Linked DNA regions of Lytechinus pictus. The protein of the gene in region 1 interacts with the protein of each later gene in a pairwise test. Links are inferred from orthologs where the notes say so. Each region holds a gene or a part of one and is shown on either strand. Other genes may lie near its edges.

Region 1 (3,758 bases):
AAGATTCTAATAATTCGTGTTGGCCCGGAGGGCGAGAAAAGGGGTTTTCTTTTGGGGGTATATAAGCAGCGGACAGGGGGATGAAATGTCTGAGGGGGGATAGAGCGAAAAGAGAAAAGTAGGAAAGGCATATTTTATTCAAAATTCTTTTGGGCATATTAAGGTGCTAGTATAGAGTGACAAATTTCCTGAAAATACGGATTTAAGCAATATAGAAAAGTTGTTGAAGTTCATGAAATACACAATAAAAACGAATGTCGACCTTTAGAAATAGCACCGAAATACTTCACATCCCCGATCCCCTTAAAAAAAAGGAACCTTGTTGAGATTCGAACCACGAAAGCTTAGATGCCTACGTATTATGCACTGCGCCGCGCTCACCTATTCGCTCGTCGTAGTGAAATTAAGATTTATATATACCGCGTAAAGCTTTACCAACAAAAAAAAATCCGGGACGGGCGCAAAACGCACACATATGAACACACTTCGCTTCGCGAAGCACTGTACACGTGTGTTCATATGTGTGCGTTTTGCGCCCGTCCCGGATTTTTTACTTAGACGAGCGGTATTAATGGCGGCTGGGCATATTAGCTAATATGGCCGCGAGTTGTCACGTGATCCTCGCGAGTCTCGATCTCTAGGCTTATTGTTGAAGGCTTTATATTGGCCTTTATTCAAGGCGTTCATTTTGTTATAATTTTATAATGACGCTCATAACGAAATCAGTGTAGACGAGTCTGTGCAGGGGCGTAACAAGGGTATATGAATAAGAGGGGGCACAGCATATGCCGCGTGTGTAAAATAAAAGTTACGTAATGTAAGTCCCGAGTGAGCAAAGCGAGCGAGAAAAAGACTTTTCATGAGAATCTAACTTTGAGATAGATTTTGACAATGATCATATTTTTTCCTTTCCTCATTTTCTTTTTATTCTTGGTTGCAGAACATTTCGGCGTCATGGGCCAAACCCTTGTTACCCCCCACATTTTGCTAGGGGTCCTGGGACCTCTGGATATTACTTAACCCAATTTAAACCTTACAGAAGGCCGCGGTTTTAATCAAATTATTGTTTATCCAAGAGCCGTTTCGGATCGATACCCCCATTTTAAAACCAAGATTTAGTTCCAGACCACCGGGCCTATTTTCAAATTTGGTGTGGCACAACTCGGTATTGTTATTATTTGAGTAGCCTCCCCCCTGCTCCCAGGGCCCTTGGCCATAAGGACTTTTTGTCCTGATTGCGACTGTTATTGCATACAATTTAGCAATCTTTTTCTCTCCATCTTATCTTTTCTGTTCTTGTTCTTTGACATCCAATCCTATTCCTTCTTCTTCATCTTCTATCCACCTTATCTTCCTCCTCTTTTCTTCCTGTTCTCGTTCTTTTATCTCTTACCCCATCCTCCTCCTCAACCCTTTTCTCTTCACCATATCTTCCTTCTCTTTTCCTTCCTGTTTTTGTACTTTATATCTCTTACCCTTTCCTTCCTTTTCTTCCATCTGTCTCTACTCTGCTCCACTCTACCTCATCATTTACAGGATGGCGTTCCCTCCCCCTGGCGAGCTGGAGTATGGACCAGCCCATGACTTTACCAATGAATACCACAGCCTCGGTGGTGTGCGGCCTCCGATGATGGTAGAAGGGGGCTACGGACCAGAGGATCATGGCGGCCCACCCGTCGTGGAGGACTATGTCAATGGTAAGGTCACAAAATTGTGAGGGGAAAATGATATCTCTTTCATTTTTTTCACTTTTCCTTCCAGAATTTTAATATTTTCATGACAAGCACCTTTTCTATCGGGCACATTTTAATATTGCAGCACATATGGGAAAAATAAAACAGGACACATAAAATATTCAAGGCAAGTCTAAGGGACACTGAGGCCAATCGATACGGCATCCAACCATGGCCCTGGATTGATTTATGCCCTTTCATTCTTTTTTGTGTGTCAGGTTAGAGCTTTGAAATTCATATTAAATGCATGCATCTTTTAAAATGAAAATATCACTCTTATAATGATAAGAAAGTGTCAGTGTTCCAATGATCATTTTGCAAAATGCAATAACTTTCAAACTAGAATACATCTATAGGACTTTAAGCCCGAGATTTTCCTCAAAAGAGTTCTATCATTTATGAACTCCAATATTCTTGAGTTCAAACAGAGGAGGCCATGTTCTTTATGGTTGAGGTTGAAATCCATGGTCTGGTATGGCGTATACCTGGCTTGATCTGCATTAATGTTTTAAGAATGTGCACAGCCTCGACGACGGTGGTGAGAACCTCAAGCCCAGGTTAAATGAGAGTCCTCTCCACAGTTGTGATAATGGGTATCCACCCTTTCCTTTCGTTCTTCCACCAGGGAGTCACAGTCAACTTCACATAGGGAACAGTGGGATGTACCAGGAGCTCCGGAGTGTGATGGTGGACGGGGGCGACAGGTTTGGGGTCTCCACCATCATGGCTGATACGCAAGAAGAACTCGTCTGGGTCGGAAACCAAGGGGTGAGTGAAGACAGCAATTGTTTCTAAAGCTAATGATGATGATGATGATGATGAGGAGGAGGACGGTGATTATGATGAGGAGGACGATGATGATCAATTAGGATGATGATGATGGTGATGGTGATGATGGTGATGTTGAGAATGATTTTGAGGATGGTGTTAAGAATGTTCATCGATGATGATGATGATGATCAATGATGATGATGATAATCCATATTATGACGATGATGTCATTTTGACCCTGGGTAGTCACCTTAGCTTCTTATGTTATCCCATTAGGCCCTACACAACTTCATTTTATTATAAATCTCCTCCATTCTAAAATACTGAACAATCATCCATTTGTCATTTACCCCAAGGGTCACGTGACATCATACTACGGCTCCCAGATGCAAAAGTACACATCATTCCAGGTACACCCGACCAACCCCATCCGAGACATATCCACCTTCCCTGGCGGTGTCCTTTCGCTCTACAGCAACGGCCTCCGCTGCAATGCCAGGCAAGGCACGAGAGTGTTTGATTGCAAGTAAGTCCAGGGTCCTGTTACACAAAGTTAAGTGATTGATTGTAGGTCCGATTTTTTTATGATTCAATAGATACATTGTGGTCAATGCATTCAATCGTAGAAATTTGTTCTAAGATCATTGCCAAGCTTAATACCGGTCCAGAAGAAATTGTAAAAAAAAAAGAGTGTTTGTTGAACAATTACTTTGCAGATATGAGACATAGGCAGCACTATTTCTTCGGTGCCTGTCCAGCAGTGATGGGGTTGTCAAGGTCAACATCTTGACCTAAGGTCATCATAATATTGCAAGAGCAAGATCATATTTCATAAGACTTGGACAAAAATGTATGTACAGTGGACAGTCATTTGATTATCAGAAATTCAACACTACTTCATGTACTATATTGAACTTAGTAATACCAGCGAGACTGCTTGGAGCATTCCAATTGTTTTTGTTTTCAATTATCCATCATTAAAGACACCTGACATATCTTCATGTGGCTTAGTTTGAACTCTTTCCATATGCAATCACATGAAGGATGCACTCGATTTGATATTTCAAGGCACCACACCAACGTTTTTCTTGGTTAGCCCGATCGGTCCACCAAAAATCATCAGTTTCATATTTTTGGTGGCCCGCAAATCAAATTCGGTGGCCTGCAAATCAAATTTGGTGGCCCTGAAACAATAGAAAACATTACAAATTATCAAAACTTTGGTAGCCCAACAGGGCCACCAAGTCTTGGCTT
Region 2 (3,758 bases), on another chromosome or scaffold:
TCGATCCATTCATTTTTTCCTAATTTCCTTTTTTTCAGTATTTGAAAAAAAAATATGTTGGTCGCCAATATCCGCCCGTAGCCTTTCTCTCTCTGATCCAACAGAAACACAAGACATGATAAAATTGAGGGAAAAATCCCGCCCGTCACCATTTAGCAGAACATTAGTGCCCCTCCCACCCCCCCTTTCTCGTTTACGTACCCCATCTACGGTAGACTAAATTCATTATTATTTTTTACGAGATCGTCAATGCATTTTTATGTGTAATAATTGAACTACATGTATGAATGGACGCTCCTCCTCCGTAATACATCTACACATATGGAAAATTTCAGGTTAAATTCATCGCTTTCGGGAAATGCCATGTTGACTTCACCGCCATTCAGGACTACATAGTACCAAGATAAGTGGGGAAATGTTGTGATTTTGTAAATCCAAGGAAGATAGCATCAAGAATTTAGGCGGTGGAAAAGTGTCGCATCTCACCGGCTTCGATTCGAGTGGCGTCAACCCCCATCCCCATCAGTGCATAAGTCATTAGTGTTGGAGCGAATGTAAACAGCATTGACTTGAGCGAGCTGACCTGAGCAAGTGCAACTGGCTGTGTCTGTGGTGCCTGAGCTGAGCTGTGCCTGTGCACTTGTGTTGCAGTTGGTGAGAGTACAGACTACAGTTCCAAGCCAAGGACAGGATTTACAGAACTGGATCTCTTCAGCAGGGCTTGACTGACCTCAAAATCACAGTATTTCTGAAAATGAAAATGAGAATTGACAGACATGATGTGCATTTTTTAATTTGAGCATCTTTTGAAGTTCTGTTAATGTGAATGTCTGTGCCAAGATCGCAGAGCACAGCCATTGATTCACCTCTATCGACTTCATTCTAAACTAGGCTAACTCAAAAACTCATCTTTTAAACACAAATCTCAGTCACACTGACACAGTCACAGTAAAAACTCGAGATGGATCGTAAGTGTAAAGTCTGGCACTTCTTTAGTTTTTAGCGATGCATGCCTTGCTCTTTGACTTTGCTAATAAAGTACATGTAGGAGAAAAATTTGGGCCAAATTGTGTGGTTGATTTGTACGCACGCACTTGGATCTAAAGGGGATGGAGGTAGAAATGGAACCATGTGCATGACTGAATACAGCACTGCTGTACAAAATGATGCACCGTGGTTCCCAATTTCTTGATAGTGCCAATAAATTATTTACCCAAATTGTGACTCTTGCAAAATTTATCAATTTTATTTCATATTTTTAATGAAAATGTTGCAACATGTATGAGCTTGGAATGTCTTGAAAGGATTCAAAATAATCCTTTATTTTGTAACATTCTAATAATGTACCATATAATGTACTAATGTACCATATATGAATGCTTTCAGATAAATTGATAATGATACGGGCCCTACATGTAAAATATCTATATTATTGTTTAGAAATAGAATATCTGGACTTGCCATTTATTCATCTGCATCATGCCAGTGATTCTCACTAACCAAATTTGTAAGCAAATCCGAAAAGGATTTCGGGGGCTTATCAGTTTTCAGTGCAAGTCACTATTTGCTCCATGAAATGCTTTCAAGCTAATGATGATTATCATCAGAATTTGATCGTTTCAAGAGTATCATAACTATTCTGTTAATGAAGTTTTGTCACTTTGTTATTATTTTTTATATATATGTAATTGATCGTCACCTATTGATTTCCTTAGCAATTTTCTTATTCAGATATCCATTGAATATGTTTATCAATTATCAAAAAATTATATGGGGGGCTTGCCGGCTCGTGGTAAATTTGCCCTTGAAATACCAAGCAGTGTACACTGTACAGAGTCTGGAAGAGTAATAAAAAGAGTCACAGAAATTTCCATAGGGTCCAATGTAAATTGTCAGACAATGTAGGGAAATTGGGCTGGTGAGTTCAAAAGTAGCCCTGGAAGAAAAGAAATAAGTATTTTTCCCAGTGTCAGTAAATATAGATGAAATATTATGAATATTAAAGAGAAAATTTTCAATAGTGGGTGGTAATGCAATCAGCTGGCCATTGGAATTTGTGCTACAGGAATACAGCTTAAAGTTATAAACAAAGTTGTGTTCAATATCATGTAAATGTATCCCTGGCAAGTCAAGTTCTTCAATATTTTCTTTTTATTGTGAATTTTGACCTTTACAGCCTTCATATTTTCATTTGTTTCTAGTGGCAGACTCTCACATGGCACCAGATCAATTTGTCACTGCTTACATGTAGAACTTTATAAAGAGCAATGCCTTACACTGTACATAAACTACATGTATTGCCCATCCCTTACAATTGCCAAGATTACTTTTTGTCCAAACAATGTCAGTATTCCTGTTGAGGGAACATCTATGTAGGAAATACATGTATCTGTACACGAAACAAAATTTACACTCCTCACAGCCCCTTTGCCTCTAAAATTTCACAATTGAATGCTTCGGGGCAATCTTCCAGATTTGCCCCCAAATCTGCCACAAACAATATTCAAGAATATATTGAAAATAATACTCCGTATACCGGCAAAATGAGTATGAATGAAGATACATGTATTTGTGTTAATACTGCTGTGCATTTTATAATTTCTTGAGAAAATAACTAGCCGGCAGGCCTAGCACCCCCCCCCCCCCCACGAAAAAAAAAAAAAATCAAGCAATTACCCGGATCTGAAAATCAAATTGAAATTAGAAAATTTGTTCCTAATTGTGACTGTTGATAGAGATGAGTGATAATATTTAACCTTTGCAGCTTTATATTTTCATTTATTTTTTTGTTTTTTTAGTGGCAGACCCTCATATGGCACCAGATCATTTCTTCACTGCTCCGTTTGACAGTGACAACTATGGTCCACAAACCAGCAAACTCCAGCATCTTATGCAGGTACTGTAATAATGATCAGTCCACAGACAGTTAAAAGGATTCTTATTGATACTAATTTATGAAAATGTTTATTGCTTGTTTGTTTGTGGCGGTTTCTTTAGTTATTTTGAAAATAAAATAGATTGCATGAAAATATCAAATGAATTTACATCACTTTGATTAATCGATGTGATGTTTAGCTATAGCTTAAATGCGGACCTTTCTTATTGCTTTACAGAAGCTTTCATGAGAAAATGAATGGTAAACTTTCATGTTCAAAAGTTATTACATGCATTTGTCACACTTGTAATTTCTAACTGGTGCTGCCTTTGGAAGGCATACATGTATGTAATAGAAGAATTGAATTGAAAAATGGGAAGCAATAATCATAGAGATATTCAGCCCCTAAAGTCATTTTTTTATGTTCTCTTCATAAATATACTTGACATTGTTCGAATTTTTATTGTTTTAAAGCGATCGCATTCAGTGGGATCGAGCCTGTCAACATATACGGGATCACCGGCATCGTCAGCACCAAGCGGGCAAAAGAGAGACGAAACGCCCATTTTCCAACCAGGTTGGTTGCCCTTATTTATTTTCCATGTTGATTCCTTATACTGTACCCTATTCTCACCGGCAAAGTTTTCCTGAACCCCATACTATAGGTAAGGCTAAATTACATTTTAGCCCCACCTAAAGTCTGGAGTTCAGCTTAGCTTACTGGTTTAAGGATAGTATGAGGTTGATGATAGTCCGGGTTTAAGAAAATGGTGTGAGAAAAGGTATACCGTATTTAACAGTACTCGGACTGTACACTGTATGCATCACAAAGCGTAGTGTGTGATTTTAGGGCTGATTTTTGTGCTTGGTTATTAATATTATG

What was found. The genes of interacting proteins can lie anywhere in the genome.
Region 2: the proteins of PAN2-PAN3 deadenylation complex catalytic subunit PAN2-like (region 1) and PAN2-PAN3 deadenylation complex subunit pan3-like interact in binary tests that used the Drosophila melanogaster proteins (3 or more experiments, as listed by UniProt). The link is inferred for Lytechinus pictus from reciprocal best matches to the Drosophila melanogaster genes PAN2 and PAN3.

The regions. Positions count from the first base shown.
Region 1 is NC_087257.1:8,241,121-8,244,878, reverse strand, and holds the start of PAN2-PAN3 deadenylation complex catalytic subunit PAN2-like, read left to right. Parts: upstream 1-1,517; 5' UTR 1,518-1,537; coding exon 1,538-1,697; intron 1,698-2,358; coding exon 2,359-2,501; intron 2,502-2,860; coding exon 2,861-3,030; intron 3,031-3,758. UniProt on the Drosophila melanogaster protein: Catalytic subunit of the poly(A)-nuclease (PAN) deadenylation complex, one of two cytoplasmic mRNA deadenylases involved in general and miRNA-mediated mRNA turnover.
Region 2 is NC_087249.1:48,655,093-48,658,850, reverse strand, and holds the start of PAN2-PAN3 deadenylation complex subunit pan3-like, read left to right. Parts: upstream 1-877; 5' UTR 878-961; coding exon 962-968; intron 969-2,798; coding exon 2,799-2,896; intron 2,897-3,349; coding exon 3,350-3,452; intron 3,453-3,758. UniProt on the Drosophila melanogaster protein: Regulatory subunit of the poly(A)-nuclease (PAN) deadenylation complex, one of two cytoplasmic mRNA deadenylases involved in general and miRNA-mediated mRNA turnover.